4 linked regions of the Struthio camelus genome follow. The protein of the gene in region 3 interacts with the protein of the main gene of each other region in a pairwise test. Links are inferred from orthologs where the notes say so. Each region holds a gene or a part of one and is shown on either strand. Other genes may lie near its edges.

Region 1 (7,298 bases), on a different chromosome or scaffold from region 3:
TTGGACCCCGAGTGCTGCTGTGGGCAAAGTCTACTGCTAGGTCATGTCTCCTTGTGCTTGCAGCGGAGAGCTGAATTTCTGCAGTCTCACCAGTCCTTTCCTGTTTTGCAGATGGACGAGGCTCAGAGCAGAGGGGCAGCCCATAGCACATGGTCCCCAGTGCAGGCACCCCTCTCTTGTGCCCACAGATCCAGTCCTACTCTGGGTCCTCTCCTGCCTTGTCCAGTGGACCCCCTTTCCAAAGCCAAGCTTTCCAGCTGCTTCTCCTTGTTCTCGCCACCGTCATGGAGCAGCAGCTCAGAACCAGATTCCAGCCCTCTGTCCAGAGTGGGCTCCAAGAAAACTTGCAAGGGTACCTGGAAGAAGAAATCACATCCTGAGGATCCCAGCGGTCTGAAGCCAGGAGAGCCTGTGTGTTTCCACTTCACAGAACCCATCATCGCTAGGATAACAGACTGCATCTACCTGGGGAACCTCAATGCTGCCTACAGTGGGCGGGCACTGTGCAAAAATGGCATTGACAGCATCATCGATATGAGCAGTCTGCCCAGTGACCGCAGCCTGAGCATCATTCCCTGCACCTGTGGCCGGGGAGGGTTCAGGCACAGCTGGTCACGCCTCAAGGTTGACATCCAGGCTCCCCTGGATGGGGACCAACATGAACTGGGACAACCTTGCTTCCGGGACATCAATGAGTGCATCCAAGCCTCGCTGGAGAAAGGGAAGCGTGTCCTTATCCACTGTAGAGATGGTTACTCTCTAGGCCCTACTTGCGTCATCCAGTACTTGATGGTCAAGCACAGCATGAGACTGCTGGCAGCCTATGAGTTTGTGAGGGCACGGTACCCGCTGAACATCCAGGAGTGCCACCAGGACCTGCTGGTGGGTTTGGAGACATCCCTGCAGCCTGGAGGTGTCAACATGGCATGCCTGAAGCACTCCTTGTCAAGGAAGATGGCATGGAGCTAAAAGGGCAGGGTTGCTGTGCTGTCTGGCAGCAGCCCTGAAGATGAAAAGCCAAACTGAACATGGCCTTAACTTATCTCATAGGTGAATGAGATGACTGTTGCTGTGGGGTATTTAGGAAAGAGCTGGGGCAAGATGCAAAGGCTGCGGCCTTCCTTTTTAGCAGTTCCTAGGGTCTGGTGCCAGCAGAAGTCAAGCGTGGGGAACTCTTTTAGGGAAACACCAGAGGGAGAGGGAGTATCCTGGGTGGGGTGGGATGGGAACCATGTGCGTTGCTCTGATGTGATTTTGGGAAAGCAAAGGGGAGCCAGACATTGGTTTGTTCAGTGATCCTGCCTGATTTTTTTACCATGAGCACATCTGCTGGGGAGTAGAAGGCCTAGGTCCTTACTGACAGCATCATCCTTGGAAATAAGAGCTGCTTCTTCCAGATGTGTTAAGACCAGAGAGCAGGATGGGATCGTGTAGAGGAGTAGAGCCACTTCTGGCACTGGAGGACCATTCAGAACCATAGTAAACAGGATCTAGGTAGTGATAGATGGAAACATAATGTTAGCTGGTACATACTGGATTAGTTAGTCCACAAACATGACTATGCAGTGAATGAAGTGCTTTATAGGACACAGTGCCTGTCCACTTGATGCTTGTAGGATCAAGAGGAGGCATCCAGTAGTATAAGTGTAAGGAGATGGCCTTGAGGAATAGCTTGGACCCGTGGTGGTTCTCCCTTGGAAGACCATAGCCCAGAAGTGCGATACCTGAATCTCTTTAAAATATAATGCAGAACCTCCTTTATGTGCCAGATCTTCCCTCTGCCTGGGCCTTGCAGAGACAATGCAGCTGCTCTGGGGAATGGTGGGTTGCACCCGCTGCGTGTCCTCTTAGTAGGAGGGGAGGGGAACAAGGCAAGGGGACTGGTCATCTGCTCCACAGGAAACGTAAAGTCTGAACACTGCGTCCACTCCTGGCTCCTGCGGCCTTGCCCTCACTGAGCCATGTTCCTCTCTGAAGGACTTGACGGGAGTTTCCTTATGTTTTCCTTGAGTTTTTCTGCAAGGAATTTGTTCACTTGTCACCCAAACGCTTACTCTACTTCGTTTAGAAACCATTATCTTTCTTAATGTCAACTGCCTCTCCTACTTTGGGTTGTTTCTGTTTTTCTATTCTTCCTGGTGCTCATTGGATTTCTTCCTCATGACATTCTTGGTCTGGGGCCTCTTCTTATTTTTAGAGAGCTATCTTCTTAATTTTAGAGAGCTATCCTAGAGTTTGACCTCTGGACAAGGCAACTCTAGAGAAAACCTTAAGCAGACTTGAAGGCTCGACCTTCTACTCACCCTATTCCCGCACCTCACCCTCCAGTCACTGGCCCTCTTGACCTTCCTTATCCTAAAATCACATCTGCTAGTCAAAACTTTTTCCCTGAGACTCCTTGCTTTGTGCAAAAACAGTGTAGTGAAAGGAGAGCCATTTCTGTGAACTCCCCACTTACCGATTTCAGACCAAATACTTGCAGGCACAAAGTAATAACTAAAAACTTGAATTCAGAGCAAATCTTTTTTTTCCTGTGCAGCATGCCTGCACTCCAGGAAGTTCAAAGAGCCTTCCTTTCATGGAGCTGAATGAAACTCCTTGGGTGCGGATAAGTTTTGAGCGGATAACTCCCCAGTTTTGATTCTTCCTCCAAAAGCTGAGCCACTGTCTTGAGGACCTGTGAGCCAGCAATCAAGTCACCATACACGCCAATATGTGTAGTTGCATAGGGAGCCGAAAAAATATTGCTGTAGAAACTTTGGAATAATAAAGAATTGGTTTAAGTGAGACAAACATGGCTTACAGAGTTGGTACTGAGAAGAAAAGTGAAGCAGCTCAGCTGTTTCTTAATGGATGGTTTCTACTGCTGGCTGGTGGAGGGTGGTCGCTGTCCATCTTCAAACAGTTTTCTGTGTTGCTTGCTTTGGTCTGCTTTTTATCGTTTCTGAGAAACTAGCTTTATCTGGGACAAGCAGACATTCCTCCTGCCAAACTGTCTGCTTTTGCTGAAGACCAGATGGGAGACGGATGCTGGGTGGGCCTTAATTTTAAATTGCCCACAGTGAGGCCTGCACCAACGAGTCCTCTTCAGTGGCAGTAGCAAGAGATGCACGGCAGGAGCTGCTGGAGTTTTAACCTATGTGTTTTGTAGGCCTGCCTGGAGCTGAAGACCTGTCTCCACTGGAGTACAGACTGCCCCAGGGACAAGGATGTGGAGGACACGACACGCAGTATGGCCTGGGGACGGGAAGGTGCAGCGTGCTCTGCAGGGACCCTGGCCCGGGGAGACGTGCAGAGGGCCTGGGAGGAGACGGAGATCCTTGTGCCTCTCTTCTCCTTTCCCAGCAGATGGTGCTCAGAAGTCACGATGCGCCCGTGCCCCCACCACCACAGCCTCGTTCGGGAGGGGCTGGTGTGGCTTGGCCGTGCTCTGCTTCGCGAGCAGGAGCAGGGGTTGCTCTTCGCAGGAGCTGCTTCCGCGCGGAGGCACGCTCAGATCGGGCTGATTCTCGTTACAGCTCTTCCCCAGCCCGGCTCCTTTTCGAGGTGCTGACTCACAGCCCGAACAGGCAGCGGAGCAGCGCTCAGGGAACAGTCAGCCTGGGTTACCCAAATTCAGCCTGCACCAATCCAATCTACAGATGAAAGAAAGCATATTCTTGGTCTTTCCCACTGGTGGGGGATCGTCCACCCAGCTGCCACCGCCAGCCAGCAACCGCTGCCGAATCACCATTTCTCTGTGCATTTGCAGGAGTCCTGCAGTGGGTTAGCAAGGGGGAATCTCACATCAACAGCCACCGAAACTCCTGACTTGGTGGGGTGGTGCTGATCTCACTACACCCACCGCCTAGCCCTTGATGTTCCAGGGAGACAAATCCTGAGCAGAGCCAGCCTTGCCCGCACTGTGGCTTCCTCTCCGCTCGCCCTGCCACGGGACGTGGGGGCAACCCCCTGCCTGCTGCAGAGGCAGCACTGGTGTTTCGCGCCAGGGACTGGCTGTTCCTTCGCAGGCGTCCGCAGCTGGGGGTTGCATCGTGCTAAAGGTGGTGAAACAGGAAGTCTGCAGCAGCAGATTTGTTGCTTGTATAGACAACGTCTGAGAGGCTTTTGGAAAAATTTGTCAGGGCCACCTCTGAGTCAGCCTAAAAACTGTGGCTGAAAGGGGAGGGAGTGCCTGACCTGAGGAAAGAGGGCAGGAGCTCCTTGGGCTCCTATCCCTGTGGGATCCTCCGTCTTCCCTTCCCTTGGGCCCACGGAGGCAAGGGTCTGGGGCATGCCCCAGCAGACTCTGGGGTTACCCTTTCTTGCTGGTCGTGTGGGGCTGCTCCCCCACGCATTGCTCCTTCTCCCATTTACTAACGGGCTGCTCCTGGCAGCTCCGGCCTTGCAGGTGGACTGTGTGCAGGGAGCCTGGCGCCCCCACAGCCCTGAAGCCACATCCAGCGTGGGAGGTTGGCGAGGGAGAAGAGGGGGAGGAAGGCTCCTTCCACAGCGCTCACCAGGAAGAGCACCGCCTGGCTCCGAGGTGGCTCCACTTCCCCACCCCACCAGCAGCAGACGTCCTCCCCCTCCCCACCCCGTAGCTGTACGTCGCCGTCTCCCCGCTGCCCACGGTGGCTGCCCTCTCCTCCAGGGCTGCTTGGCTCGCCTGCCCCGGCCAAGGGAGGTGCACAAGGGAGTCTTGCACATCATTGGTCTGAGAAGGTCTCCATGCCCTTAAAGAGAAGGTGGATTTTCTGCTGAGCCACCCGAGAAGCCCTTTTATACCTCCTTACTCAGCCAGCTGCCTACGGCTCGCCAGTCAGTCCTGTCCATCCACGGGGGCTCTCTGTCTTTCTCCTCAGCGCTTGGGTGAGCCGTTTTGCATGTCTCTTACTGACCCAGCTTGCTGTTAGGGGGCGAAGGGGAAGCAGATTCACTCACGTGAGTTTTGGGGAGATAAATGCTAAGAGGGGTGGCCTGCCGGGGAGAACTGGGGTGCTGATAGGACTGCCTCCATCCTTTGCCTGTTGGAGAGGGCCCACGCAACCAGAAAGTCTCCTTGTCTTTTCCAGTTACCTTCTTTCTCTTTGGTTTCATGCCTTCCCCTCACTTGACTGGCTTTGCTTTCCGGCTTGAGCGGAAGGGCGAGTGGAGCCGCAGGCTCTGTAACGCTGACCTCCCCAAGGCCGTGGGAGGCGGGATCCCATCCTTTGCTGGTGTAACTCAGCAATGCTCCCCCACTTACAGCTCTTGCTCCAGTTCCTGACCCGGTCTGTGCAGCGCCTTCCTCCCCAAAACTGTCCTCCACGTTTCGAAGCCTGTAAGACAGGGGTAGACGTTCAGATTTACTGCAACCCACTGAACAGGTGATGTAAAGCCCCTATCACAGGCGGATAGCTGCGATCTGGGATTCTCTCCTTGCTTCCTTTGTACTTGCAGCTTAGATGTCATTGAAGTGGGTGCATGTGTGCGTGCGGGAGGAACGCAAGTAAAAATAGCTTGCGTTCCTCCGAGGCCCTGTCCCTCAGCTGTAGCTGAGCCACCTGTGGTGGCTTTTGCTTTGCATTGCCCCAACCTCCCTGAGTCATGGGGCCTGGCACCGGGGAAAGGCTGCAGTCTGAGGAGACAGCTGCAGCTCCTTGTGCAGCTCCCTGACCATTTTTAGAAGCACTTTCCACCCCAGTAATGTGATGGGCCTGCACATTTTCCAGGATAAAGTTTCCTCAGGGAGCTCGTCCCTGCAATCTGTACGTCCTCCCTTGGGCTTGGGCCCCATTAACACTTTATCTCCCAAATGCGGCCCCCCAGGTCTGCAGAGCGCTGTGTTTTGGGCTGCGAGAGACTAGCCGAACTGGGGATGGGTTGGCACTCTGGGGTCCTTCTGTTAGTGGATACAAGTAGGAAATACTGCTCTGCTAGAAAAAAAAAATATGTTATGTGTTGTGGGGAAACAGTTTATAGCAAAATATAGAAGATTCAAAGGTGCTTTCCTCTCTCTTCCTTAATATGCTGTGTCGGGCCTGTATAATTTCCACGTGAAGGAGATGCAAGAACTTGTCGGGGGCTGTGGCTTTATCAAAGCAACAAAAAATTTTCAAACCTATTCTGTGTTATTTGTGCTGTGGCTGTTGCACTAGGCTCCTCCGCACCACGCAACGCATGCACATTATGGCAGCAATACGCGCTGAGGTCCTCCTTACCTGCGCTTGCTGTCCCACTCCATCGCCATCGTGTCTGAACCCTCTGCAATCTTTGGGACGTCTCTTGTTCATGAAGTGGGGCGGTGCCGTTTGCCCCGTTTTGCAGGCAGGAAGGCTGAGGCCTGAAAGATTTGCCTTTTATGTTGCTACAGAACTGTATAAAGAGAACTATATGGCAGAGTCAAGTCTGAAAATAGCTGTTTCTCCTCCTTCTTCTGTCATTGCATAAAGCGGTTTTCCTGGGAGTCAGAGACATCCTTGCAGGAATTATTGTCACAAATCTGTCTTTCTTCTTCTGGCCTAACATTGCTTTGTCCAGTCCAGGAGCACCCAGATGCTGAGGTGTGTGTGGCTGCGAGGAGGCCCGTGTTTGGCTCTCGTCTGCAGACCGCAGCCTACTTCCCTATGTGATGAAATTTTGGAGAAGTTGGGAAATAAGAACAAAGCTGTTCCTCTTTTTTTCTAGGGGAATCTTGCTGTATTTTTAAGCCCAAGAAGGTCATCACCAATATGAATAGTTACGAACCTTTCTTTTCTCCCTTTTCATTGCAGGTTTACAACCACCTAAAGCAAGATGTCTGAGTAAGTTCCCATTTTCTGTCTCTGATATGCTGTTGGCCTTTTAAAACTTCTGTTTAGCTGCCAACTTTTTCACTTGTTAAGATTCCTCCACTTGTTTCTAATTAGGATGCTAACTGCCTTTTTCTCCCCCCCCCCTTCTCTCCCTTCCCTTCCTTGTCCATCTCTTCCTTTTGAACAGTGAAGAGGTAAGTGTGTGTTGCTGGGCTTTTTCCTTCAGTAATGCTTGTGGCACCAGTCTTCGCTTTGCTTTCCTCCTTAGAAAAAAGCAGCTGCTTGGGGGGAAGAACGGCCCAGGCTGTAGCAAGGTTTTCCTGATCATTCCTTTTGGCAAAGATGGGGAAGGACAGGAAAACCTCTTTTGAAGGCGTTTGCCCTTCCTGCCTCCTGTCTTGAAGTTAGATGTTTTTTCCCCTTTCCCGCTTCCCCAGCTGGCCACAAGATGGTGCTGGGAACCCCTGCCTGGAGGGCAAGGGCTGGTGGTCCTGAATTGCATCTCTTCCATCTTTACTACAGAAAGAGAGAAAATCTCTGCCC
Region 2 (7,501 bases), on a different chromosome or scaffold from region 3:
CCAGAGGATGGTTTTTGCTGTAAAGAGCAAACACCTACGGCAGACTTCCCAGTGATGGGGTCTCCCCATGGCTCAACTAGGAGGATCTCACTTTGGCAAGAGATTAGTCAGCCTTCCTAGAGCACCAGCAGCTGCAGCATCACAGACATGGTTTCTCGTATTCACTGCACAAACACTGCCTGCTTTTCACGTTACATGGCATCAGTCCAGTTTCACTTGTAGGTTTTGACAGCAGTCATCTTTGGCCATGGCCTCCACCATGTCAGAAGGTCTTCAGCTGTAATCTTTGCATGGTGGAACTAATGCCACACATCTGAAAATCTGTCTTGAGCACAAATGCTTAAGCTGTGCTATGCCTATCTTCAGCTAAGGTTCAGTGCCCATTTTATCATGGCTGGAATCTTGTCAGAAGCCATTCTTATCTAGTTCAGTAGACCACACTCTCTTTCTAAGGTCTTGCTTCATGCTTCAGAGAGGATGTGTCCCAGTCTTCTGGGCAAGCTTCCTGAAGCGCCACACTGGACTTTGGTCATAAACCACAGCTTGCCACAGCCCCACTTCTGACCACTTCACTTACTCTTGCTAAGGCACACTTTTGTGCCTGCTGCTTTTACGCATGTCTTCCCAGATTCAAGATTGAGCAATAAATCTAGAGATAGAGTGGAACAACCAACAGTGACTGTATGTCCATAGGAGAATCAAGTCTTTTCCTATACAGGAGTAAAGGGGGCACAGACAGTACAATGTAGTTTTGCTAATGTTGTTCCAATTATGCTCAGGAAGTTCTTTTTGAATTGAATATATATCAGCCCTGGCATTCCTTTCACAACCTGCATGTGTCTGATTTTTTGCCACTTTTTTTCTTTGGAGGAAAAACAAAAATCAGCACATCTTACAGTTCCTGAGAAATGACTATACTGACCATTACTTGATAGACTGCAAGTAAGCAATGCTAACAGCTTCACAGAAATCCATAGTAGAGTACAGCCAGGATCAGTTTGCAGTGGGAACCCAGGGCAACTCAATAACATTGACTTCCTGGTCCCTCCTCCCACATCCAAGAACTTGAATTATCCAGCAGTCCTTGCATCACAGCACAGTCCTATTGATGGCCATGTGATACAACCTTGGCCAGAAGCCATCCTTGAACTGCTTGAGATATAACTCAAGAGCAACAGATTGAAATAGGAAGGCCATGGGTGGTCAAAGTACGTGTCTGATTACTTTGCTGGATCAGGGCCAAGGTTAAGGTACTGCAGGTTTGAACGAGACACACAGTGACACGCGCTGGTCAGAGACGTCTGAATGCCTTAAAGCAGCCCATTGTACCATGCGGTTCCCCGCAGTTGTCACAGGGCTGTACCAGTTAAATCCAATGAGAATGCAAAATACCCTTCACTGTAATCAACTATGTCTGTTTTAGTGGCAGAAAGCAGGAGAGAGAGAACAGTTCTCAGATAAATTATTTGGACCAAACGGCTACGTAAAGCCTCCAAAGAGCTCAGATGCTTACACTGATCTTACTTGATGAGCTAGGTGCTTTTGTAGCCTACTGAAGAACTGTTAAGAGGTACCAAAATCCCAGTCTGTTGAGGCACCTCCATATTTTTACAACATGCACCTACCTGCATCTGCACAAATGCGACCCCAAGACAGGGTGTAACAAAGCTTGTAAACACCAAGCAGTACCATATGGAACTGGGAGCACCAAGGGTAGGACCCTGACCCACAAGAAACATGTGCATTTGGCTGACCTTGAAGACTGCCAGAGTGCAGAGAAACAACTGTACACTTAAGGAGCGGCTGCTCACCCACCAAGCCACAGCCACTGACACGTTCTGGTTCGTAGCAGACTGCAGACATGAAGCAAAACCACCACAGAGGCAGTGGTTCAGCAGGCTAGGAGCTCACATGGGGCCATTCACCGTGGCCGTAGCAGCTTATCACTCAACAACAAGCAGTAGCTTTGTAACCATTCACTGATACCTTAAGGTACTGCTTGCGTGATCACAGACACATACAGGCGCAAACATAGGACCGGGGTGTGTGACAACATCAATGCCCAGGCAATGCAGTATTAGGCTCTTAATTCCACCCCACAGGTGCCAAGAGTGGGAGAGGGCAAACAGCTGGCTTATGGGATATGGAAAATGAACCCCGGGGCACCCTGTGCAAGTCAGCAACTCACAAGTGTTGCACCAAACCAAACAGATCAGCATGGGACATATCTGGCTGCTACAGTAAGCAGAAAGTCAATGCAGTTATTTCTGTGCCTTCTCCTTGCTGACAAACTGGCTAGGTTCAGCTCCTTTTCTCCAGATGCAAAAATACGGTTTCCATGTCTCACATGCTGCTATCTCTCAGCTTGGAGCCAAAATTTTAATGTTCACCCCAGAAGCAGAGCTGATGACAAAGCATGGCTGCTTGCTGGGAGTTATTTATCGAGACCTGCACGGCTGCTTTCACTGAGGCGGCTCTTCAACCTGCAGTACTCCATCAGAAACAATCCCTCTTGCCATAGTAAGAGGGAAACACAGATGAAACCAACAAACCTTTTATTACTGCTGTGATGTAATGAGACACCATAACTATTTTTTAACGTTTATCTGGTACGCACGAATCCTTACATGTGAAGGATCCGGTATTTGCTTTGTGAGGTACCATTTTCACTTTAGCTAAAGCAGCAAGGCTTTTCTTTAGACTCTTCCATTAAAATGCAAAAGAACCTTAATTCAGCCATGGAGCCAGTTTTCACAGGTGACTTCTGTCCTTTACAAAGGCCCCTATCAATGCTCTTAGGTAAATGTCCCCATGCCCTGGAGGTGACTTGAGCCCACTCGCAGCTACAAGGGATGCTACTATTTTCTTTTGCACACACCACTGTGTTGTAAGGAAAAGGAGGTAGCTCTAAACATACTGATTTATGTTTGTGTCTCCAGGTTCATAGGGTAAATCTGAAGGCTCAGCCTCCTCAAAAGTCTCAGCATCCTGGCAGGGACAGAGGAATGTCACAGTAAGTACAAACACTGTTGGGTCAAGTACATTCAGCCTGCTGAAGTCTCCGTCTCCATCCTGCCATGTTTATTTTTCCCCCCACACCAGGAAAAAGCGGAAAGCCACCACTGTTTTGCTGACCATTGGTTCCTCAGCCAATGAAGTCCCTAGCAGCCGCTCAGCCCACCAGAGTTACACCACTTTAATTCAGCCGTTATCTATTGACCCTCAAAGAGTAGGTTTCACATTTTTTAAATTATTATTTATAGTATTTAGAAGTATTTTGTAAGGATCAGCTCGAGCACATCTTCAGCAGGTCACCAAGAGGCAAGAATCATCATGAATATCAAGATTTGGACTCTTTCTCCTGGAAAAGGGCTTTCTGGCTTGGGACATTTTCCAGCCTGAATTGCTAAGAGAATTGAGGGAGCAGGGGAATAAGGCTAGAAGTAATTGAGCAGCTGCCACACAACTTAGCCATTTGCCAGCCTCCTCCAAAGATTCATTTCAGATAGATAGTTGGTTTTGAACATGTCACTTGGTCAAGAGCTGGGGAACTCAAACTATCTAGGAACGGACTTCCATCTTAACTCAGGCTGGGAGGAAAAGAGCTGATAACTTGGGTCATTTTGGAGAACAGACAGATTATGGAAAAGACCATGACCACAGCAAAACAAACCCGGGCACTTCAGTTGCACATTTCCATGCAAGACAGGTAGTCCAAAAGCTAAATGGGATGGGTAAGAGTGGACATCAACACTTTGCCAGGGAGCAAGCACATATCTTGCACTGCAAAGATTTGATAGCCTTAAGACTGCCATTCTCGATTAATCAAAGACCTTACTCTAATCTCTACATCAATTAAGCTTTAAGAAGAATGTCAGGACAGAGCACCAAAGTTCCTTCTCGTTTCCTTACAATCAGCCTCACTGTGGTTACACATGCACCACACAAGCCAGGAAGAGCTAGACCTGGAACCAGCTAACCCAGGCAGAAATTTCCGTAGAAGGGGACAACTACTGGAAGGCAAAACTGAGCTGTATACAGAGACGACAAGATGTGAGCAGTGAATTGGCTTTTATGATCTATAGGACCAACAACATTTACAGGTTATCAGCTCTTCCTCCGCTAATTTGTTGTTCACAGTCCAGTAAGGCATTTTCTCTTGGAGCACTTGAATGGAGACTCTCCCTGGGGTACGTGATAGGCTGGTGCACAAACAGCAGATAAAACACTCTGGCGCCTTCCTCTGCTTCAAAGTAAAGCGCCAGCAACACAGCTGGGTTTATGCATGTGAGAAATGCAAACTATAAAATCACTTTTCTTTGCTATATAGATGCAGAGTCCCTCTACGAGCCAGACAGGGCCTTCCTATGGAACCACACCTGTGTTTACAAAGGTAACGAGCAAAGGTTGGCTGAATGACATCGCTTCTTCTGCGACTTCAACCCCTAGCATTAGACTTTGAGTTTGACTTCTTCCTTTAGAAAACCCCTGGGGGTGGGAACACTGGTTCATTTACATTTCAAAAAATCACCATACTTCATTAGCAAGGCTATCAAACTAGTATCTTAATTGGTAAATGATCCTGAGAAACAGAACCACTCACATGAATGCATCTCATTTGTTTGCTACAAAGGCTGAAGCGGAATCTCTCACAGTAGCCTCCCTCATTATTGGTCATCCACTAGAATTAGATTTTTTTTCTGCATTTTTGTTTTGATTTGAATGCATGAGCAAGCTAAAGCCTTTCAATGAGTGCTGGTCTACAGGCGAAAAAACCCTTCACTCTCAACCCACTTCAAATATATCTAGAATCAAATCAATTATTTTAAGTAAAATAAAAGAGTCATGCCATCATCTTATTCACTAAAGGGTGTTTGATTGCCTAAGTGTTTCTCCATTTAAGCAATTACTACGTATGTCAGCCATTTTACACCATTTTCTCCTCCTCCAGGGTCTACAAAACATCAGAGCTACGAAGGGTCAATTAGTGGTATTTGAATGTCGTATTCGCACCACGCCAACCTTACAGGTTCACTGGTACAGAGAATATGACCCGATAATAGATTCTGCAGATTTCCGAATACTGCGGAAAAGTAGGTATCGCCATGCCTCTCTGATGCACAGTAATTTTATCGGGATAGCGATAAGACAGGAACAAGAACCACTATGAAAATTAGAGCATAGTACATGTTCATAGAGATAGAAGTTGGTTTAAAAGTATCATATGATCTGCAGTTGCAGACCGCTCTATAGAGCCCGTCCTTTCCTTCTCTGGGGATGTGCGCGCAGACCAGGCGTGATGGGAAGGGACTGCAAGGACATTAGGTATTAGTGAAAGCACCACTGAGCCACGAAGGCACTGTCACAATATACTGTAACTAATGATCAATTCAGCGATCTTCTGAATCACCTCAGAGGAGAGGGGAGAGGGGTTTGTACTATCAGGTTTCGGTCAAATCTGAACTTACCCTAGCGGGACGGTATTTCTCTTGATGAACACAGAGAGATGGTTGTTTTGCAACAAGGGTGACAGCTGAGGTGGTGAGTGAAGGCTGAAGGTCTTTCTTCCGTTTTGGCATTTACAAGCATTTAATTATTCTCTCTCTTATTTTGAGCAGAGGCTTGCTCATCAGCAGCTCCTGGTAAGTACATCACACATCTTTTGTTAGACATCCCATCAGTTAGTTTACCCCAAGCTTAGTTTTTTCCCCTCATCTCATCCAAGATAAAACAATAAAACTGAAAGGGTGGCCAGAAGATACGGGTTCAGCAGCAGACTAACGGCTTTCAAGTACTTGGTTTTGACATAAGCTCCTGAAGGGCCCCGGTTTATTTAGTAACACAATCAAATTATCCTGTTTACATTCAGCCAAAGAAAAACATCTTGTATTCTGAGAGACACTGGAAACTTATCAATCATACTAACCTGTGGGATTTTCGGGGTTTTTTTCCTTAAAGTCACAGGCAGAAAGATCCTTCCTTCATCTTCACCCCTTCCAAATCCCTTGACTTCCTATGCTCTTTACACCACTTCTTTCTGAAAAGCCCTATGGCCACCAAGCCCCATCACCAATTAACTGTCCCTTCGGCAAGGACCAGGTCCTACAGGCTAACATTCGGCCCTTACAGTACAACAGCGTGCCTCAATTTGTCGTTTCAGAGGAAGTCTGCACATTGGTTATTACAGAAGCTTTTCCAGAAGACTCTGGGATATTTAAATGTGTTGCTGAAAATGAATTTGGATCAGCGGCATCTAGCGCACGTCTCTCTGTCTCCCCAGGTAAGCACACAGATCTCTGAGCTGAACAACCAAGCTCAGGAGCCTCTGCTGCCACTCAGTATCCGGCAGAGTCGCAGGTATTCGTGAAACAGAAACACTTGTGTAGGCTCAGCCAAAAAGAAACGCCCCAAAAGCATAGTCCGCTTGGGTATTTCTCAGGGTTGAACGCAAGTTGCTCTGCGTTTCTGCTTCTGGCCTTGCTTCCCCCTGGGTCAGCGTAAGGGCGACAAGGTGGAGCTGCTGTTCCCTCGCACAAGGGGTCTCCCCCCCAGACCTTCGCCCCTTCGCCCCACAGCTTAGCCCAATACACTGTCAGTATCGGCACCTGTTCATCACAACGCACAACTAGCCCAGCTCGTGCTCGGAGCCAGCTGCGAACCGAACGACTGACTTGTGCACAATTCCGTTCCCAGGAGCAAAAGACCTGGAGAGCTTTGCAGGTGCTGCCCCGGTGCCGGCCACCACGAACAAATCCACTTTCCCTAGAGGCAGCCAAACTGCCACCATGGAGCGAGACGCAGCTGGCCAGCCACCCTACGGCACCCGGCAAGAGGCCCCAGGGCTAGGCCGGCGAGCAGGATCCACCGACTTCAGCCAGATGAACTCCGAGAGCGAAACCGAAGATTTTCCTGGCATTTATGAGAATTCACCTCAGGCTTCACCTCTGCGGTAAGGCAAAGGGGAAAGTCACATCCCTAGAGTGGTTTTAAACAACAGTTAGAGGATGAGCTTTCTAGCGACCCCAGCAACGCAACAGCAAAGGTCCCGTGCCCCATACCCTATCCGGGCAAACACGCACACGCAATAACCTGAGCTGTTTGCCTAGATGTCATAGGAACTTGTTACACCAGCCGAGCTACAGAACAGCACAGGCTAGAGCTGACAAAGTACAGAACTGTCTAAAGGCTCAGGTAAGTGCCTAACGGTATTGTCAGAAGTGCCTACCTGTAAGCAGCTTTAAAAGCACGGCCACGCATAGCCACCAGGAAATGCCCGACGCCACAGTCGAGCATGAGACAAAAACCACAGCATCTAGGAAATTTCAAATCACAGTTCTGTTGCCACCGATTTCCTCCATAGCCTTGCCCAAGACGCATCGCTTCATGTTTCCGTCCCCTATTCTGTCAAGCAGCTATAGAAGTTGGGATGTGGGAAGCATGGCGCGCTTAGATTGCACCTGCAAAGCACCCTGTGGAGGAAAAGCACCGACCGGGTGATCCC
Region 3 (7,398 bases):
ACTTCTTCTTCCAAGGACACCTCAGATTAAGGAATCTTTCAGAGCATCGTCTCAAGACGTCCATAAATACCTGTTCACAACAGCCTGTATCTCCGTTGTGCGTTATCTGTGCCCTTTCCCCAAATTATCAAAGCAGATTTGCATTAAAAAAAATCTGGAGTGGCACAGCTTCCAAATAGAAGATACAGGTGATAGTTTGATAAGTATGTTCTTCTAAAGATCTAAAATAATTTTTGGATGTCAGCAGTGCATATAGTCTCTCTTAACTAAGCATATCTTTAAAAAAAAAAAATTCTTAGCTACCCACCTCCTTCCCTCCCAGCTACAGGTATATGTTGTTACTCCCACCCCATTACCTCAGCTTCATGTACCTGTAAATAAAGGGAGGAACTGGAGCCATGGGACATCTTCTGCACCATACCATCTTTCTGCAAGATGCACTCCTCCAGATGAATGACGTTGGGATGTTGGCTCTTGATACTGCTAAGCGCCCAGAACTCACGCAGAGCTAGTTCCACGTTCTCTGGAGCATGGCAGCGAATCTTTTTCACCGCAACCCGTGCGGAGGTCTTCCTGACGACTGCTTCGTACACCACACCATAACTGCCACGGCCAACCTCCCGTATTAGATCGTACTTAGGCTGGCTACTCACCATCTTCAAGATCAAAGGTTCTGGGGAAGGGGGAAGGGGAAAAAACCCATAGAACTAAAACTTGTGAACAACTACTAATTTGCGTTTTCCCTATGTGACTTGGTGTAGCGACAGTAGGCCTTCAATTATTAGGGCACTGCCCCTGAACGTAACATCTCATAACACCACATTCGAGTGCTAGAATATCCTAGAACCTACTTTGTAAACCCATACCTGTTGCTAAGGAGCAGTTAAGAGAAGTTCTATCATTTCAGTCAGACTACTAAGATTGCAAATCAGGCCAGTTTTCAAGAATGCAGCAATTCAGACCTAGACTTGTACTTGAGATGGGATTATCACATATTCTCTTGCTGTTTTCTCTCAGTATCTTTTGCTCTATCTGTGCATGTAATAGCACAGTATCATGCTCAACCCATGCCTGGGATATCAGAGAAGAGGTTTAGTTGAAAGTTATGGTTAGGCAATAGCAGATTTAATTTGAAACTTCCTTTTAAGGAGGTGACAGGATAGGTAAACATTTTCTATTATAATTTAACTACAAAAATCTTTTCTGGATACTAGAAGAAGAGGATGCTTCAGAACACCTACTTTTTTTTTTTCCTCCAATTGTTACTATGCTTTTTTTACCCAGGCGCCTCTGAATAATCAGTTTAAGGTTCCAAAGAGTTAAAGAGGGCAACTGATTACAGAAGCTTTTACTCAGTATCTCAACTTCAGTTTTGCTGAACAGGGCAAGGATTTCAACAAAAACTAATATATTGTTCTATAAACAAAACAAGAGAGACAAACAAACAAAAAAACAGTGCCACAAACTTATGAGCCTCTCTACACACTTCTCTGCAAGTTTACAAACCAAAACACAACATCACCTTCATATAAACAAACCAGAATGAGACACTGACTACAGACAGGGAAAAAAAAAGGTTTGGCTAGCCAAACATCACCGGTCAGACAGAACTAAATGTAAGAAAGAAAGAAAGATCACAATTAGTAGATGAGAACTAAAATTTTTTTTTTTTTTTAAAGATTGCTAGTGATAGGTGTAACTCTCCTTCTGTCAGTAACCAGGCACTAAGGACCACATCGAAACAGCCCCTTGTCAGAGGGAGCCTTCTAGTTTTCCCAGTAGGAAGACAGACACAGGTATTACCAGCCTCAGGACACCATCGATGCAGATGTTTAGACCCTTTCAGGAGAGTTTTGCAGTGAACATTTACTGTAACACCTGAACTGCAACTGGCGTGAGCAAGGAATTCACTGTGCGAGATGCAGGTCGCAGGAGGCATCGCACCTGCGCCTGTAACAAGGCTAGGAGGAACAGATGATGGTCTGAAGGGGAAGACCCAATGGGCCAGTAACACCTCCCAAGCAGGGGAGGAAAGCAGGATCCATAACCTCAAGGACGGCCAAATCTAAGGAAATGACGGTGCTACTCGGACACTACCGCACCAGGTCCAGCATGAGCGGGAGACAGGCCCCGTCTCTGGCCAGGTAGGTGCACGCTGTCACCAGGGGGGCTCCATCACACTGCCAGGGCAGCCACCCACCCTCACCAGGAGGGCCACACTCCCACAGCAGCCTGGCCCAGGCCGGGAATGTCACTGGGGGGGGGGGGGGGTCACAGGGCAAGGCAAGGGGAAGCAATGCCTGCTCACGCCAACCCATCAGGCCAGCAGCAGGACAGGGGCAGCAAGCACCAGGCCTGGCCCCGCTGCCGGGCCCAGGCAGGCACCACACAGATGAAGCGTCTCTGCTCCCCGGCTGCCTTGTCAAAAATAACAATTACAGAATAAAACAAGTCACCTTTCCCCTCCACCCAGCACCACCAGGGAGGCCCCACAAGCAGCAGCCACGCAGGGACCCCACCAGCGCCCAGGGGAGGTCACTCCGGGGAAGGAATTAAGGCGGTTTCGCCCGTTTTCCACACCGCTCCCCCCCCGCCAGGCCCCGCGGGCTCCCCGCGGCCGCGCTCACCCCGAGGGCCCGGCCGGGCCGCGCAGCAGGTGCCGGGGCCCCCGCTCAGGGCAGCGCCGGAGGCGGAGCCGGGCCCAAGCTCGGAGCTTCAGTCCCTCACTGTGACGCCCCGGAGCCGCCAGCGCCGCGCTCCCTCCGCCCCGGGCACCGCGTTACCTCAGCACCGCCGCCGCAGCCGCCGCGCTCCCGCCGCCCGGCCGCCATTATAGGGCTCCCCCCGCCGCGCCGCCGCCGACACACCCCCTCCCCCCTCCGGCCGCCGTCGCCCCGCCCCCCGACGTCGCCACGCCCCCCAGACGTCGCCCCGCCCCCCCACCGCCGCGTTCCGCCCCCCCCACCGCCCCACCTCCTGATTGGCCGGCGGCGGCAGCGCGCGCGCGCGCCCCCTCGCGGCGGGGCGGGAACGCGCGCGCCGCCTGCCACGTGCGCTCCTTCCCGCGCGGCTGCTTTTTTTTCCCGTGCGCTCCTCCGTTCGCCCCGCCGCTCGGCGGCTGTCAGCGCTGCTCTTATTTATTTTATTCTGTTTTATCGGCTTTTTTTTTTTTTTTTCGCTTAAGAGAAAAATATGGAGCCTTCCCTCGCCAGGGAGCCTCGCGCCTTTTGGTGCGCTCTGGCGTCGTGCCAGGTCCCTTCCTCTCCTCCGTTCCTCCGGAGCGCCAGGCCTGGTGGTGCTTTTCCGTACAGCAGCAGTGCCGGCGCTGCACGGAGAACGGGAGGCCGCGGCGTGACCCTTCGCATGGCGGCAGGCCCGCAGCACCCTGCAGCCTCGGCCCCTCGCTGCGCACGAGTCCCTCCGGCGACACGGGCAACATCCTCCTTTCCTGCACCATCAGACTGGGTGCAAACGCGCTGCACGGTCTGCTGCGGCCTCGCACCTCCGGCCCCTCGCAGCGTCGGCCTGGCCGGGGGAGCAGCCTCGGGGCGGGGAGGTTGCAACTTAAAAAGGGGAGGGGGTTGCAAGTTCGAGGGGCTGCAAACTCACGCTGGAGCGGCAGATTTGCTTCACCCCAGCTCCAAATCGAGGACGTGGGCTCTGGCCACCCTGGCCTGCAGGGAGCCACGTTCCCGCGGCACCAGAGGGCGCGTGGCCGTCGCGGATCCGTTTGGGAAAAGGGCCGGGGCCGGCCGAGGGGCAGAGGTTCCCCTTGGAGCGGGGCTCCGCGCCGGCCCCAAACCCGCGGTGCCGTGGAGGCAGCTCTTCCCGCCAGCCGTGCACCGTCCCCCGCTTTCACCCCCATATTAATTACTAATCAGCCTGGCGGTGATTAGCCCGTCGCCATCTTCCCTGATCCCCCCCAAGCCAATTAGGAGCCGACGAGCCCCTTGCAGGCCAGCGGCGGGTTTGAAGCCGATTAGGGTACAACCAACCCAGCCGGTGCCGCGAATCCCCTTAACCGAGTCCAGAAGCAATTAGTTAATTAATGGCACGCCACCCCCCTCGCTGCCACCGGCCCCAAACGCGGCTGGGTCCGGCCAGCGGCCGCCGTGCGAGGCCGGGTGCCAGCGCCACCCGCGCCCACCGCGCTATAATTAACCCGCTGTCCCCTCTCGGCTGCCAACATTTACAGGTCTCCCTGCGGACCGCCGCGGGAGCTGGGCATCACAACCTGTTTATCGCCGCGGCTCGCAGATGCCACCCCGGCCCACGTGAGCCGGCGGCTTGATTTTATTTTTTTCTTAACCCCCGTCGCCTGCAGCAGCTCTCGCGGAAGGGGCCCGGCCTCGGCCCGCCGCCCCGCTGCTCGCCTCGGAGCCTTTCCTGGCTCGGGTTTCGCAAGGGAGGCGCGGGGTTAGCCGGGGCCGCGGGACGAGGGCGAAGGTGCGCCCCGGCACCGGCTGCTTTTGTCCCCGTCTCGGCCAGGCACGACTGGAACGAGCAGCGTCGCTCGGTGCCGGGATGGGGACCCGCCGGAGCGGCTTTTCTTATCGCTCCTGGGTCCCGTCCCGGCAGAGAGCGGGTGTGAAAAGCCCCAGCCGCTGGCTGATGCCCGTCGCCCGGGGGAAACCCGCACGCCGCAGCCTGTTCTCGTGGTGGCCGGGCGCCCCGGGCGCGTTCGGGATGCTTCAGCCTCCCACGTGCCGGGCCTGGGTCGTGGGGGCTTTTTTGGTGCCCGGATGAGTCGCTGCTATGCGGCCGGGGGCTTTCCCAGCCCCGAGTCATCGCCCTCCCGCCCCGCAGCCCCGCGGTCGCATCCGGTCGGCCAGAGCTCAGCGCTGCCCGAATTTGGGGCGGGGGGGGGGGACGAGAGCGATTTTTCTGCTTGAATAAACTGGACGAAGCAGGTCGGCGGCCGCGGGAACGGGGCTCGGCCGGGGGCACGACGCTGCCGGGGACGGGCCGGACGGGCTCGGGCACCCGCGAAGCCCCAAAGCGAGGTGCCCACGTGGCGCCGGGCGGGATGAGGAGCGCGAGGCCGAAGCAGCCCGGCGCCCCGGGGGCCGTGCCGGCGGCGTGTCCGGCCTCGTCGGCCCTTGGGCCGCTTGCACCTGGGCGAAGCGTGACTGCGCTGACGGCCCCGGCTCCGGTTTCTTTGTCCCGGGAGACGCTAAGCCCCCCGGCAGCGCGGGTGCGGACAGGCCGTCCCGAGCCCTGTTTACAGCCCGGCCTCCCGCTCGGCCCGGCGATTGCTCACTCCCATGTGATGGGTGGGAAACTCGACCCGCTGCCAATATTGTCCCTCCGCGTGACCGCAGCGCGAATTATAAATAGCCGCGCGGCCGGAGCGGCAGGCAAAGGCGGGTGGCTGCAGCCGAGCTGCGGGAGCTCAGCGCCGCCCGTCGCCCCGTCGGCGCCGGCAGAGGAGCAGCGACGCTTCTGGCCGCCCTTGGCCGGCCCCATGGATTACCAGCCCGGCATCATCCGGGACGGCAGCCCCATGGAGAACCTGGAGAAGCAGCTCATCTGCCCCATCTGCCTGGAGATGTTCACCAAGCCCGTGGTGATCCTGCCCTGCCAGCACAACCTCTGCCGCAAGTGCGCCAACGACGTCTTCCAGGTGAGCGCCGTGGCAAGGCGTCCCCAAAGCCGCCGGCGGCCGGGGCCGGTCCTCAGCCAGCACTCGGCTGACCCCGAGAAGCCCTCGGGCTCATGGTTTGTCCCCTGCACAGCGGAGCTTTCCGTCGCGGGCAGCGCGGGAGGCTGGTTTCGGGCACGAAGAGGTTGGTGGTGGAGGTGGCCAGGCCATGAGAGGTCCCCACCGGGGCGCCGAGCGTAGGGACGGCTCAGCGGGCCGGGGGAGGACGCCGCGAGGATGCTCACAGGTGCCACGGGACCCCCCGGTGTCCCCGGCCGGGGGACCCTGACACGGCTCTCCTTGCAGGCCGCCAACCCGTACTGGCAGAGTCGGGGCAGCGTCATCTCGGGGGGCCGTTTCCGGTGCCCGTCCTGCCGCCACGAGGTGCTCCTGGACCGCCACGGCGTCTACGGGCTGCAGAGGAACCTGCTGGTGGAGAACATCATCGACATCTACAAGCAGGAGTGCTGCAGGTGAGCCCGAGAGCCGTTTGTCCTTTAGGAGATTGCACCTTTGCTGGAAACCGTGGGTCCTTTCCGCTTGCTTGCCGCTTGCCATCCCCGGTCTCTTCCTCCCGATAGCGCAGCTGGAACGTTTTCGTTCCGACACCAAGAGCAGTAAAGTCGCGAGCGCTGTCCCTCGGGGAGGGCTGATCTCCCAGGGCTTTCGTGCCGCCGCGGAGGGCAGCGGGTCCTTCGGCGGCGAACGACAGCGGGACCCGTCCTGTCCTTAACGCCTGGCGTTTTGCAGATAGAGGTTTCAGGCGGAGATAAGGGGCGCGCGGGACAAATACCGGCTCCGCTTGCGAGAGCTGGGAATTGCCGGCTGATAAGGGACGGAGGGACGGTTTCAGGGGGAGGATCTTGCTCAGGGGCTGGAAAAAGCAAAGGCTCATGTTGCTCAGGGGAAGGGACCCAGCTGGGGTGCAAATGTGCCGGCGGCTCGGAGGGGGAAGGGGAAGGACAGCGAGAGGTCACGGCTTATCGAGGCAGGAAGGGGCTAAATCTATTTATAAAGGAGAAAGAAGAGGGTGAGAGCAAGCCCCGGCGCAACGGCTGCTCCCAAAACGGGAGCCGACGGGAACCCGCTCCCAAATCCACTGAATCACTGTAAATATTATTCGCCAGCCATGGGGACGGTGACAGATGTCAGACGACAAACATCTCCGGCATCGGAGTTTGCGCAGCAGGGAAGGCGCCCGGGCAGCGGAGCGCCCCGCGGGCCCCCCCGGGCGGCCGTGGCTCGGCGAGCTCGTTGCACCCCTGGCTTTGGGGTGAAATCCCCCGGGTTTCGGTTCGGTGGGGTCGGCTGTCCTAAAGGGGCACGAGCAGGTGGCTTCAGTTCGCCTGGCCGGGTCTCCAGCCACCGTCACGCTGCTCGCGGAAGGGGCAAATTGGCTAAAAGCCGCCGGGGAGGAGGGGGGGCCGTGTTTCAGCTGCCCCCGCGGCGCCTGGGGCTCCCCTGGCCAAGTCACGCGTTCGCCGCAAGGAGCAGAGGGCGAGCGTTCGTCTCGGGTCTGCGATAATACTACATTACACCACCACGGGTCTAAAATTAGGCTGTTGCGCAGCATCCCTGGCCCGTGGCCCCGGTGCCCCCGACCCAGGGCACCCGAGGCGCTGACCGCCGCACTGCCCAGCATGGCACTGGTTTAAACTGGGGCCTCCTGGGCTCCTGCTTGAGCCGCCGGGCGGAGGAAAGCAAAGCTCGGCGCGCGGAGCCGCGGAGGTCGGCAGCTCGCGAAGGAGCAGTCGGGG
Region 4 (8,156 bases), on a different chromosome or scaffold from region 3:
AAAACCGGGCTTTGCACTCGCACGTGCACGCCACCAGGCTTTGCACGCGCATGTGCCTGTACGACTGGGCTTTGCACGCACAACCCAGCTTCGCACGCCCACGGGCCCACACACCCGGGCTTTGTGGGCAGAGGCACATGCGTGTGCCCCCCCCCCACTTTGCACGTGTGTGCGCGTGCAAACGCAACCCCCCCCTTCTTGCACACCGGTGATCACACCCGCCCCCACCTTTTGCGCACCCTTGCACGCCCGCGTGCACGCGCCCCCTCCCGTGCACGCGCCCCGCCCCACCCCCGGCAAGCGCATGCGCACACGCGCCCATCCCCCTTGCACGCGCGCCCCCCTCCCTTCGCAGTCGTGCGCATGCGCACGCGCCCCTCCCCGGCCCCCCCTCCCGGCCCCCCCCGCGCGCATGCGCACGCGACCATCCACAGCCCCCCGCCCCTCCCGCGCGCATGCGCCGTGGGTCCCCCCGCCCCGCCCCGCCCCGCCCCGCCCCGCGCGCGCCCCCCGGCCCGGCCCCACCGGCGGTGGCGGCACCGGGCGGAGCCCCCCGGTCGGCTCGGGCCGAGCCAGCGCAGCGCACCGGGAGCGGGAGAGCCCGACGCCCCCCCCCCCAACCCGCTCCCGGACCGGACCCCCCCCACACACACACACACCTCTTCCCCCAAAACCGGACACCCCCTCCCACCTTCAAAACCGGTATCTTCCCTCCCCACCCCCCCCCCGGGAGCGAAACCGGCGGCCCCGGCTCGAACCGGCCGCCCGTACGCACCTGCCGCCGGGCTCCGGCATCGCCGCCTCCCCCCCCTCCCGCCCCTCGGCCACCGCCGCTCACCTGCGGCCGCCGCCGCCCCACAATGCCCCGCGCGCCGCCCCCGCCGCCGCCATCTTGGGCCGCCTCAGCGGGAGCGGGGGGCGCCCTGAGGCGGCCCCGGGAGAGGGGGGGGCACCGCCGGGGTTAGGGGGCACCCCAAGGACAAGGGGACCCCCCCAGTGCTATGGGGCACCCTATTGGCACCCCCGTCCCACCCTGGGGGGCTCCGGACCCCCCCCCGCCCACCCCAGGGGCACCCAGACCCCCCCATACCCACCCTGGGGGGCTCCAGACCACCCCCTGCCCACTTCAGGGGCACCCAGACCCCCCCCATACCCACCTTGGGGGGCTCTGGACCCCCCCCGCCCACCCCAGGGGCACCCAGACCCCCCCATACCCACCCTGGGGGGCTGCAGGACTTCCCAATGCCCACCCTGGGGTCACCCATACCCACCCTGGGGAGCTCCAGACCCCCCCGTGCCCACCCTGGGGTCACCCAGACCTCCCCATACCCACCCTGTGGGGGTTCCAGGCCCCCCCATGCCCATTCTGGCGTCACCTAGACCCCCCCATACACACCCTGGGGACACCCAGACAGCCCCCCCACGTACACTCCGGGGGTACCGAGGTGTCCCTCACCCCCCCCACCCTGCCATGGGTGCAGGTGCCCTGCCCTGCCTGGGGGGGCACCCACAGCCCAACATCCCCCCCCACCATAGCACGGGGAGGGGGGCTCGCCCACCCCTGGGTGCCTGGGGCCACCCGGCGGGGGGTACCCCACTCCCTGCCTCGGTTTCCCCCGCAGGGCCCCATGCGGGGTGGTGGGTGCCCTCACAGTGTCCCCGCCGCCTGGCCCTCCCGGTCCCCCCGTGGGGGTCCCCAGCACCCGCTTCCCCCCCGCCCCACCGCCCGGCCCGACACCGGATCCCCGCGGGTAACCGGACCCGGCCTAAAAATACCGGGTGGGGAGGGGGGGGGAGGCTCGTCCCCGGCTAGAATTGCCCTGATCCAGCGGATCCTTCCCCAGGGTCACGGCACCCGCTGGGTGTCCCCAGCACCCTGACCTCCCCCCCCAACCCAGCACCCACAGCAGGGACCCCACGCCCTGGGGGTGTGGGTGACATGGGGGACGGGGCGCTGCTGGCACCCTCCGCGGCTATTTTGGGCGTGGGGATGGCTTGTGCCACCCACCGGTGGCCTCCCCGGCCTGGGGACGGGGGTGCCACCGTGTCCCCAAGGGGCACCCGTGGACCTGGCGCTGGGGGAGGTGAGGGGGGAGACCCTTGTGGCCGGCCTCTCCTCACCTGGGTCTCCCCCTCTCTCTCCATCCCTCTCTCCATCTATCCCTGCCTCCATCTCCCCTCTCCCGCCACCGTTCCTCCATCCCTCCTTCCATCTCCCCATCCCTCTCTCCCTCTATCCTCTCTGTTCATCCATCTCTCCATCCCTCCTCCATCTCTCCATCCCTCCTTCCATCTCCCCATCCCTCTCTCCCTCTATCCTCTCTGTTCATCCATCTCTCCATCCCTCCTCCATCTCTCCATCCCTCCTTCCATCTCCCCATCCCTCTCTCCCTCTATCCTCTCTGTTCATCCATCTCTCCATCCCTCCTCCATCTCTCCATCCCTCTCTCCCTCTAGCCTCTCTGTTCATCCCTCCATCTCTCTCTCCATCCCTCCATCCTCTTTTCATCACGCCACCCATCCCTCTCATCCACCGCCACCTCCTGCCATCCTTCTCCCTCCCTCCTACACCTCCCTCCATCTCCTCTACCCCTCCGCTGCTCCCTCATCCGTCCCACCATCCCTCTCTCCCTGCCTCCGTCCCTCTCCCTTCCTCCCTCCATCCCTTCCTCTCTTCCTCCATCTCCTCCTGCCATCTCTTCTCCTCCCTCCCTCTCGCCATCCCTCCCACGCTCTGCCCGGCCCTCTCTCCTTTCCCTTCTCTCTCCCTCCATTTCCTCTCTCCATCCCGCCCTCCCTCCACCCTCTCCCCGTCCCGCACCCACATCCGCGTGTGCGAGGAGGGGGCGCAGCGGGCAAGGACCGGGGTGCGGGAGGTGGAACAGCGAGCCCTGTGCAGGGTGCCGGGTGCCCACGCAAGGTGCAGGGTGCCCATGCAAGGTGCAGGACACCTATGAAAGGTGCAGGGTGCCCATGTTGGGTGCAGAACACCCACTCAAGGTGCAGGACACCCATGTAAGGCACAGGGTGTCCATGCAGGGTGTAGGACACCTGTGCAAGGTGCAGGGTGCCCATGTAGGGTGCAGAACACCCATGCAAGGCACAGGGTGCCCATGTGGGGTGCAGGACACCTGTGCAAGGTGCAGGGTGCCCATGCAAGGCGCAGGGTGCCCATGTGGGGTGCAGAACACCCATGCAAGGTGCAGGACACCCATGCAAGGCACAGGGTGCCCATGTGGGGTGCAGGACACCCATGCAAGGTGCAGGGTGCCCATGCAAAGCACAGGGTGCCCATGTGGGGTGCAGGACACCCATGTGGGGTGCAGGACACCCATGCAAGGCACAGGGTGCCCATGTAGGGTGCAAGCTGCCCATGTGGGGTGCAGGACACCCATGCAAGGTGCAGGACACCCATGCAAAGCAGAGGGTGCCCATGTGGGGTGCAGGACACCCATGCAAGGTGCAGGACACCCATGCAAGGCACAGGGTGCCCATGTGGGGTGCAGGACACCCATGCAAGGTGCAGGGTGCCCATGCAAAGCACAGGGTGCCCATGTGGGGTGCAGGACACCCATGTGGGGTGCAGGACGCCCATGCAAGGTGCAGGACACCCATGCAAGGCACAGGGTGCCCATGTGGGGTGCAGGACACCCATGCAAGGTGCAGGGTGCCCATGCAAAGCACAGGGTGCCCATGTGGGGTGCAGGACACCCATGTGGGGTGCAGGACGCCCATGCAAGGCTCAGGGTGCCCATGTAGGGTGCAAGCTGCCCATGTGGGGTGCAGGACACCCATGCAAGGTGCAGGACACCCATGCAAAGCAGAGGGTGCCCATGTGGGGTGCAGGACACCCATGCAAGGCACAGGGTGCCCATGTGGGGTGCAGGACACCCATGTGGGGTGCAGGACACCCATGCAAGGCACAGGGTGCCCATGTAGGGTGCAAGCTGCCCATGTGGGGTGCAGGACACCCATGCAAGGTGCAGGACACCCATGCAAAGCAGAGGGTGCCCATGTGGGGTGCAGGACACCCATGCAAGGTGCAGGACACCCATGCAAGGCACAGGGTGCCCATGTAGGGTGCAGGACACCCATGCAAGGTGCAGGGTGCCCATGCAAAGCACAGGGTGCCCATGTGGGGTGCAGGACACCCATGTGGGGTGCAGGACGCCCATGCAAGGCTCAGGGTGCCCATGTAGGGTGCAAGCTGCCCATGTGGGGTGCAGGACGCCCATGCAAGGTGCAGGGTGCCCATGTAGGGTGCAGGGCACCCATGCAAGGCACAGGACACCCATGGAAGGCACAGGGCGCCGTGCAAGGGCGCGCGTGCGAGGGCCGGACGCAGCGGGCGCCTGGCTGGCCCAGCGCCCGGCCCCACCTCGCGGCCGTATTTCAGGGCCGGGCAGCTGCCGGGCAGGGTGCCCGCTGGCCACCCGCCGCCGCTGAGGCCTGACCCGCTCGGTGCAGGGGGGGCCTGGAGGGTCCCGGTGAGGCCGGGCCCATCGCACCGGGGCTGCCTGGGGCCCTTCTGCCCTCCCTGGGCCTGGTTTTACCCCCCTGGTCTTGGTTCCGCCCCTTGGTCTTGGTTTTGCCCCCTAGGCTCAGTTTTACCCTCCCCAAACCCCGGGTTTGGTTTTGCACCCCCCGGTCCTGGTTTTAACCCCCTGGGGTCGGTTTTCCCCCCCCGACCCTCGTCCCAGCTTTACCTCCCTAGTCCCGGTTTTGCCCCCCCCCCCCCGCCCGGTCCAGCTCGATGTAACCCAGTGGCGGGTGGTACCGGCCCCCCCCGGTACCCCCCGGTGTCCCGGGACCCCCCGATGTGCCGGACCCCCTGGTGCTCCGGGACCTCCCCCGTTTCCTGGACCACCCCGGTGCCCCGGACCCTCCGGTGGCCCCGGACCCCCCGGTACCCCCCGGGGGCGGGCCGAGGCGGGGGGGCGGCGCGGCCTCGGGGCTATAAAGGCCGGTGCCCGGCCCCGCTCCCCGCCGCCGCCGCCGCTGCCGGTCCGACCCCTCCGACCCGACCCGACCCGACCCGACCCGACCCGACCCGTTCGTCCGCGCCGCTCAGGTAACCCCGCGGCACCGGCACCGGTACCGGCACCGGACCTCTCCGGTGCTGAACCGAACCGGGCCGGAGCCCTCCGGTATCGACCCGAGCCGGGTCCGACCCCGCCGGTGCCGAACCGAGCCGGGTCTGGCCGAACCGGACCCCTCCGGTACCGGCCGGATTGCACCCCCGCCGGTGCTGAACCGAGCCGGGTCTGCCCGGACCGGACCGGACCCCTCCGGTACCGGCCGGATTGGACCCCGCCGGTGCTGAACCGAGCCGGGTCTGCCCGGACCGGACCGGACCCCTCCGGTACCGGCCGGATTGGACCCCGCCGGTGCTGAACCGAGCCGGGTCTGCCCGGACCGGACCGGACCCCTCCGGTACCGGCCGGATTGGACCCCGCCGGTGCTGAACCGAACCGGGTGCGACCCTCCCGGGCACCGAACCGGCACCGGGCCAGGCTGCACCGGCTCCGGCTCCGGCTCCGGCTCCGGCTCCGGCTCCGGCTCCGGCTCCGGCTCCGGCTCCGGCTCCGGCTCCGGCGGGGCCGGTACCGGTGCCCCCCCCCCCGCCCCGGTTCGGCTCCCGGAGTCCTTTAGGGGCTATAAATAGCCCCCGGCTCGGCCCGGCCAAATATAGCCCGGCCCCGGCCGGCACCTGCCGGCTGGCCTAGGCCCCGCCCCCCGGAGAGGCCCCGCCCCTCCGGGACACGCCCGTCGACGCCCCGCCCCCGGGGTCCTAGTGCCCGCCCGGCCCGAGCCTGCGCTGGGCTGGCGCCCCCCCACCCCACCCCGGTGTCCTTTGTGTCCCCTGTGACCACACCATGTCCCCTAGGCCATGTCCTCCGTGTCCCCTGTGTCCCTCATGCCCGTGTCCCCCGTGTCTCCTCTGTCCATGCTGTGTCCCCCATGTCGTGTCCCTTGTGTCCTCTGTGTCCACGCCATGTCCTCTGGGCCGTATCGCCTGTGTCCCCTGTGTCTTCTGTGTTCATACTATGTCCTCTATGTCCCCTGTGTCCCCCACGCCATGTCCTCCATGTCCCCTCTGTCTGCTGTGTCCCCCATGCTGTGTCCCCCCATGTCTCCTGTATCCCGTGTGCCATGCCCCCCATGTCCCCTATGCCCCCTATGTCCCCTGTGCCATGTCCTCTGTGCCATATCCCCTATGTCCCCTGTGCCATGTCCTCTGTACTTGTGCCACGTCCTTTGTCACTCCCTTGCCTATACTGTGTCCCTGTGCCATGGCACCCATGTCCCTGCTGTGTCCCCCCATGCCTTGTGCCCATGCCATGGCACCTGTGTCCCCCATGCTTGTGCAGCACCTCTTTGCCATACCTGGGCAGTGCTGTGACACCGTACCGTGTCCCCCGTGCCACGTCGTGCCATGTCCAGCCCCTGGCCCTGATGGCCGTGCCCAGTGCCATGGTGTGTCCCATGCCATGTCCCATACTGTGCCCAATGTCATGTCATGTTCCATGCCTGTGTCCCGTGCTGTGACACCGTACCGTGTCCCCCGTGCCACGTCGTGCCATGTCCAGCCCCTGGCCCTGATGGCTGTGCCCAGTGCCATGCTGTGCCCAGTGCCATGCTGTGCCCCATGCCATGTCCTATACTGTGCCCAGTGCCCTGTCATGTCCCATGCCCGTGTCCCATGCCATACCCAACGCCTGTGTCCCATGCCATGCCGTGTGCCATGCCCATGTTTCAAGCCTTTCCCCATGCCCATGCCGTGGCCCATGCCATGTCCTGCGGCAGCACATGACGCCGGTGCCGGTGCCCGCAGGCCCGCCGCCACCATGCCCTTCAGCAGCACCCACAACAAGCACAAGCTGAAGTTCTCAGCGGAGGAGGAGTTCCCCGACCTCTCCAAGCACAACAACCACATGGCCAAGGTGCTGACACTCGCCCTCTACCAGCGCCTGCGCGACAAGGAGACGCCCAGTGGCTTCACCCTCGACGACGTCATCCAGACTGGCGTTGACAACCCTGGTGGGCACCGGGGTCCCCAGGGTCCCCTCAGCCCCCCAACCAGCTCAGCTGTCCCCACCGTCCCCTCGGCCAGCCCTGATGTCCCCAGGAGCCCCTCGACTAACTCTGCTGTCTCCAGAGCCTCTTGACCAGTCCTGGTGTCTCCAGAAACCCCTCAACCAGCCTCAGTGTCCCCTTGACCAGCCCTGGTGTCCCCTCAGCCAGTCTTGGTGTCCCCAGGAGCCCCTCGACCAGCCCTGGTGTCGCTTTGACCAGTCCTGGTGTCCCCTCGGCCAGCCTCAATGTCCCCAGAAGCCCCTTGACCAGCCCTGGTGTCCCCTTGACCAGCCCTGGTGTCCCCTCGGCCAGCCTCAGTGTCCCCAGGAGCCCCTCGACCAGCCCTGGTGTCCCCTTGACCAGCCCTGGTGTCCCCTCGGCCAGCCTTGGTGTCCCCAGGAGCCCCTCGACCAGCCCTGGTGTCCCTTTGACCAGTCCTGGTGTCCCCTCAGCCAGCCTTAGTGTCCCCAGGAGCCCCTCGACCAGCCCTGGTGTCCCCTCGACCATCCCTGGGATCCCCACTGTCCAGTGCTGTCGCAGTGGGTGCCTGGTGCCAGCGGCAGTGGGGTGACTGGTGACGGTGGGGGGTGATCCGCAGGGCACCCGTTCATCATGACGGTGGGCTGCGTGGCCGGGGACGAGGAGTCCTACGAGGTCTTCAAGGAGCTCTTCGACCCTGTCATCCAGGACCGCCACGGCGGCTATAAGCCCACCGACAAGCACCGCACCGACCTCAACCACGAGAACCTCAAGGTGCCGGATGCCGGGGCCCCCCGGGGGAGGGGGGAGGGGCACCGGACACCTGGGCCCATCCTGGCTGGTGGGAGTGGAGACAGGGGGGCTGTCCGTGGAGGTCAAGGGGATCCGGATGCCTGGGTCCCTCCTGAGTTTGAGGGGTGGGGAGGGGCAGGGTGCCCGGATGCCTGGGTCCTTGCTGGGGTTGCAGAGGGTTTAAGGGGACCCGGACGCCTGGGCCCCCTGCTGACGGGTGCCCGCAGGGGGGGGACGACCTGGACCCCAAGTACGTGCTGAGCAGCCGGGTGCGCACCGGGCGCAGCATCAAGGGCTACTCGCTGCCG

Evidence for each region.
Region 1: the proteins of TRIM63 (region 3) and TNNI2 interact in a two-hybrid assay, tested with the Homo sapiens proteins (2 studies listed by BioGRID and IntAct). The link is inferred for Struthio camelus from reciprocal best matches to the Homo sapiens genes TRIM63 and TNNI2.
Region 2: the proteins of TRIM63 (region 3) and MYOT interact in a two-hybrid assay, tested with the Homo sapiens proteins (2 studies listed by BioGRID). The link is inferred for Struthio camelus from reciprocal best matches to the Homo sapiens genes TRIM63 and MYOT.
Region 4: the proteins of TRIM63 (region 3) and CKM interact in a two-hybrid assay, tested with the Homo sapiens proteins (2 studies listed by BioGRID). The link is inferred for Struthio camelus from reciprocal best matches to the Homo sapiens genes TRIM63 and CKM.

Annotation. Positions count from the first base shown.
Region 1 is NC_090946.1:17,999,829-18,007,126, forward strand, and holds the start of TNNI2 (troponin I, fast skeletal muscle), read left to right. Parts: upstream 1-4,036; 5' UTR 4,037-4,851; intron 4,852-4,903; exon of another isoform or gene 4,904-4,923; intron 4,924-5,229; exon of another isoform or gene 5,230-5,348; intron 5,349-6,734; 5' UTR 6,735-6,764; intron 6,765-7,298. Other genes in the region: uncharacterized protein, read left to right, coding at 112-969. UniProt on the Homo sapiens protein: Troponin I is the inhibitory subunit of troponin, the thin filament regulatory complex which confers calcium-sensitivity to striated muscle actomyosin ATPase activity.
Region 2 is NC_090954.1:5,806,629-5,814,129, forward strand, and holds the start of MYOT (myotilin), read left to right. Parts: upstream 1-4,330; coding exon 4,331-4,393; intron 4,394-4,951; coding exon 4,952-5,093; intron 5,094-5,618; coding exon 5,619-5,642; intron 5,643-6,160; coding exon 6,161-6,280; intron 6,281-6,693; coding exon 6,694-6,949; intron 6,950-7,501. UniProt on the Homo sapiens protein: Component of a complex of multiple actin cross-linking proteins. Involved in the control of myofibril assembly and stability at the Z lines in muscle cells.
Region 3 is NC_090964.1:7,166,501-7,173,898, forward strand, and holds the start of TRIM63 (E3 ubiquitin-protein ligase TRIM63), read left to right. Parts: upstream 1-4,257; 5' UTR 4,258-5,026; coding exon 5,027-5,623; intron 5,624-5,947; coding exon 5,948-6,114; intron 6,115-7,398. Other genes in the region: serine/threonine-protein kinase PDIK1L, read right to left, coding at 372-656. UniProt on the Homo sapiens protein: E3 ubiquitin ligase. Mediates the ubiquitination and subsequent proteasomal degradation of CKM, GMEB1 and HIBADH.
Region 4 is NC_090957.1:1,407,848-1,416,003, forward strand, and holds the start of CKM (creatine kinase M-type), read left to right. Parts: upstream 1-4,994; 5' UTR 4,995-5,071; intron 5,072-6,835; 5' UTR 6,836-6,848; coding exon 6,849-7,041; intron 7,042-7,675; coding exon 7,676-7,830; intron 7,831-8,075; coding exon 8,076-8,156. Other genes in the region: KLC3 (kinesin light chain 3), read right to left, coding at 776-795. UniProt on the Homo sapiens protein: Reversibly catalyzes the transfer of phosphate between ATP and various phosphogens (e.g. creatine phosphate).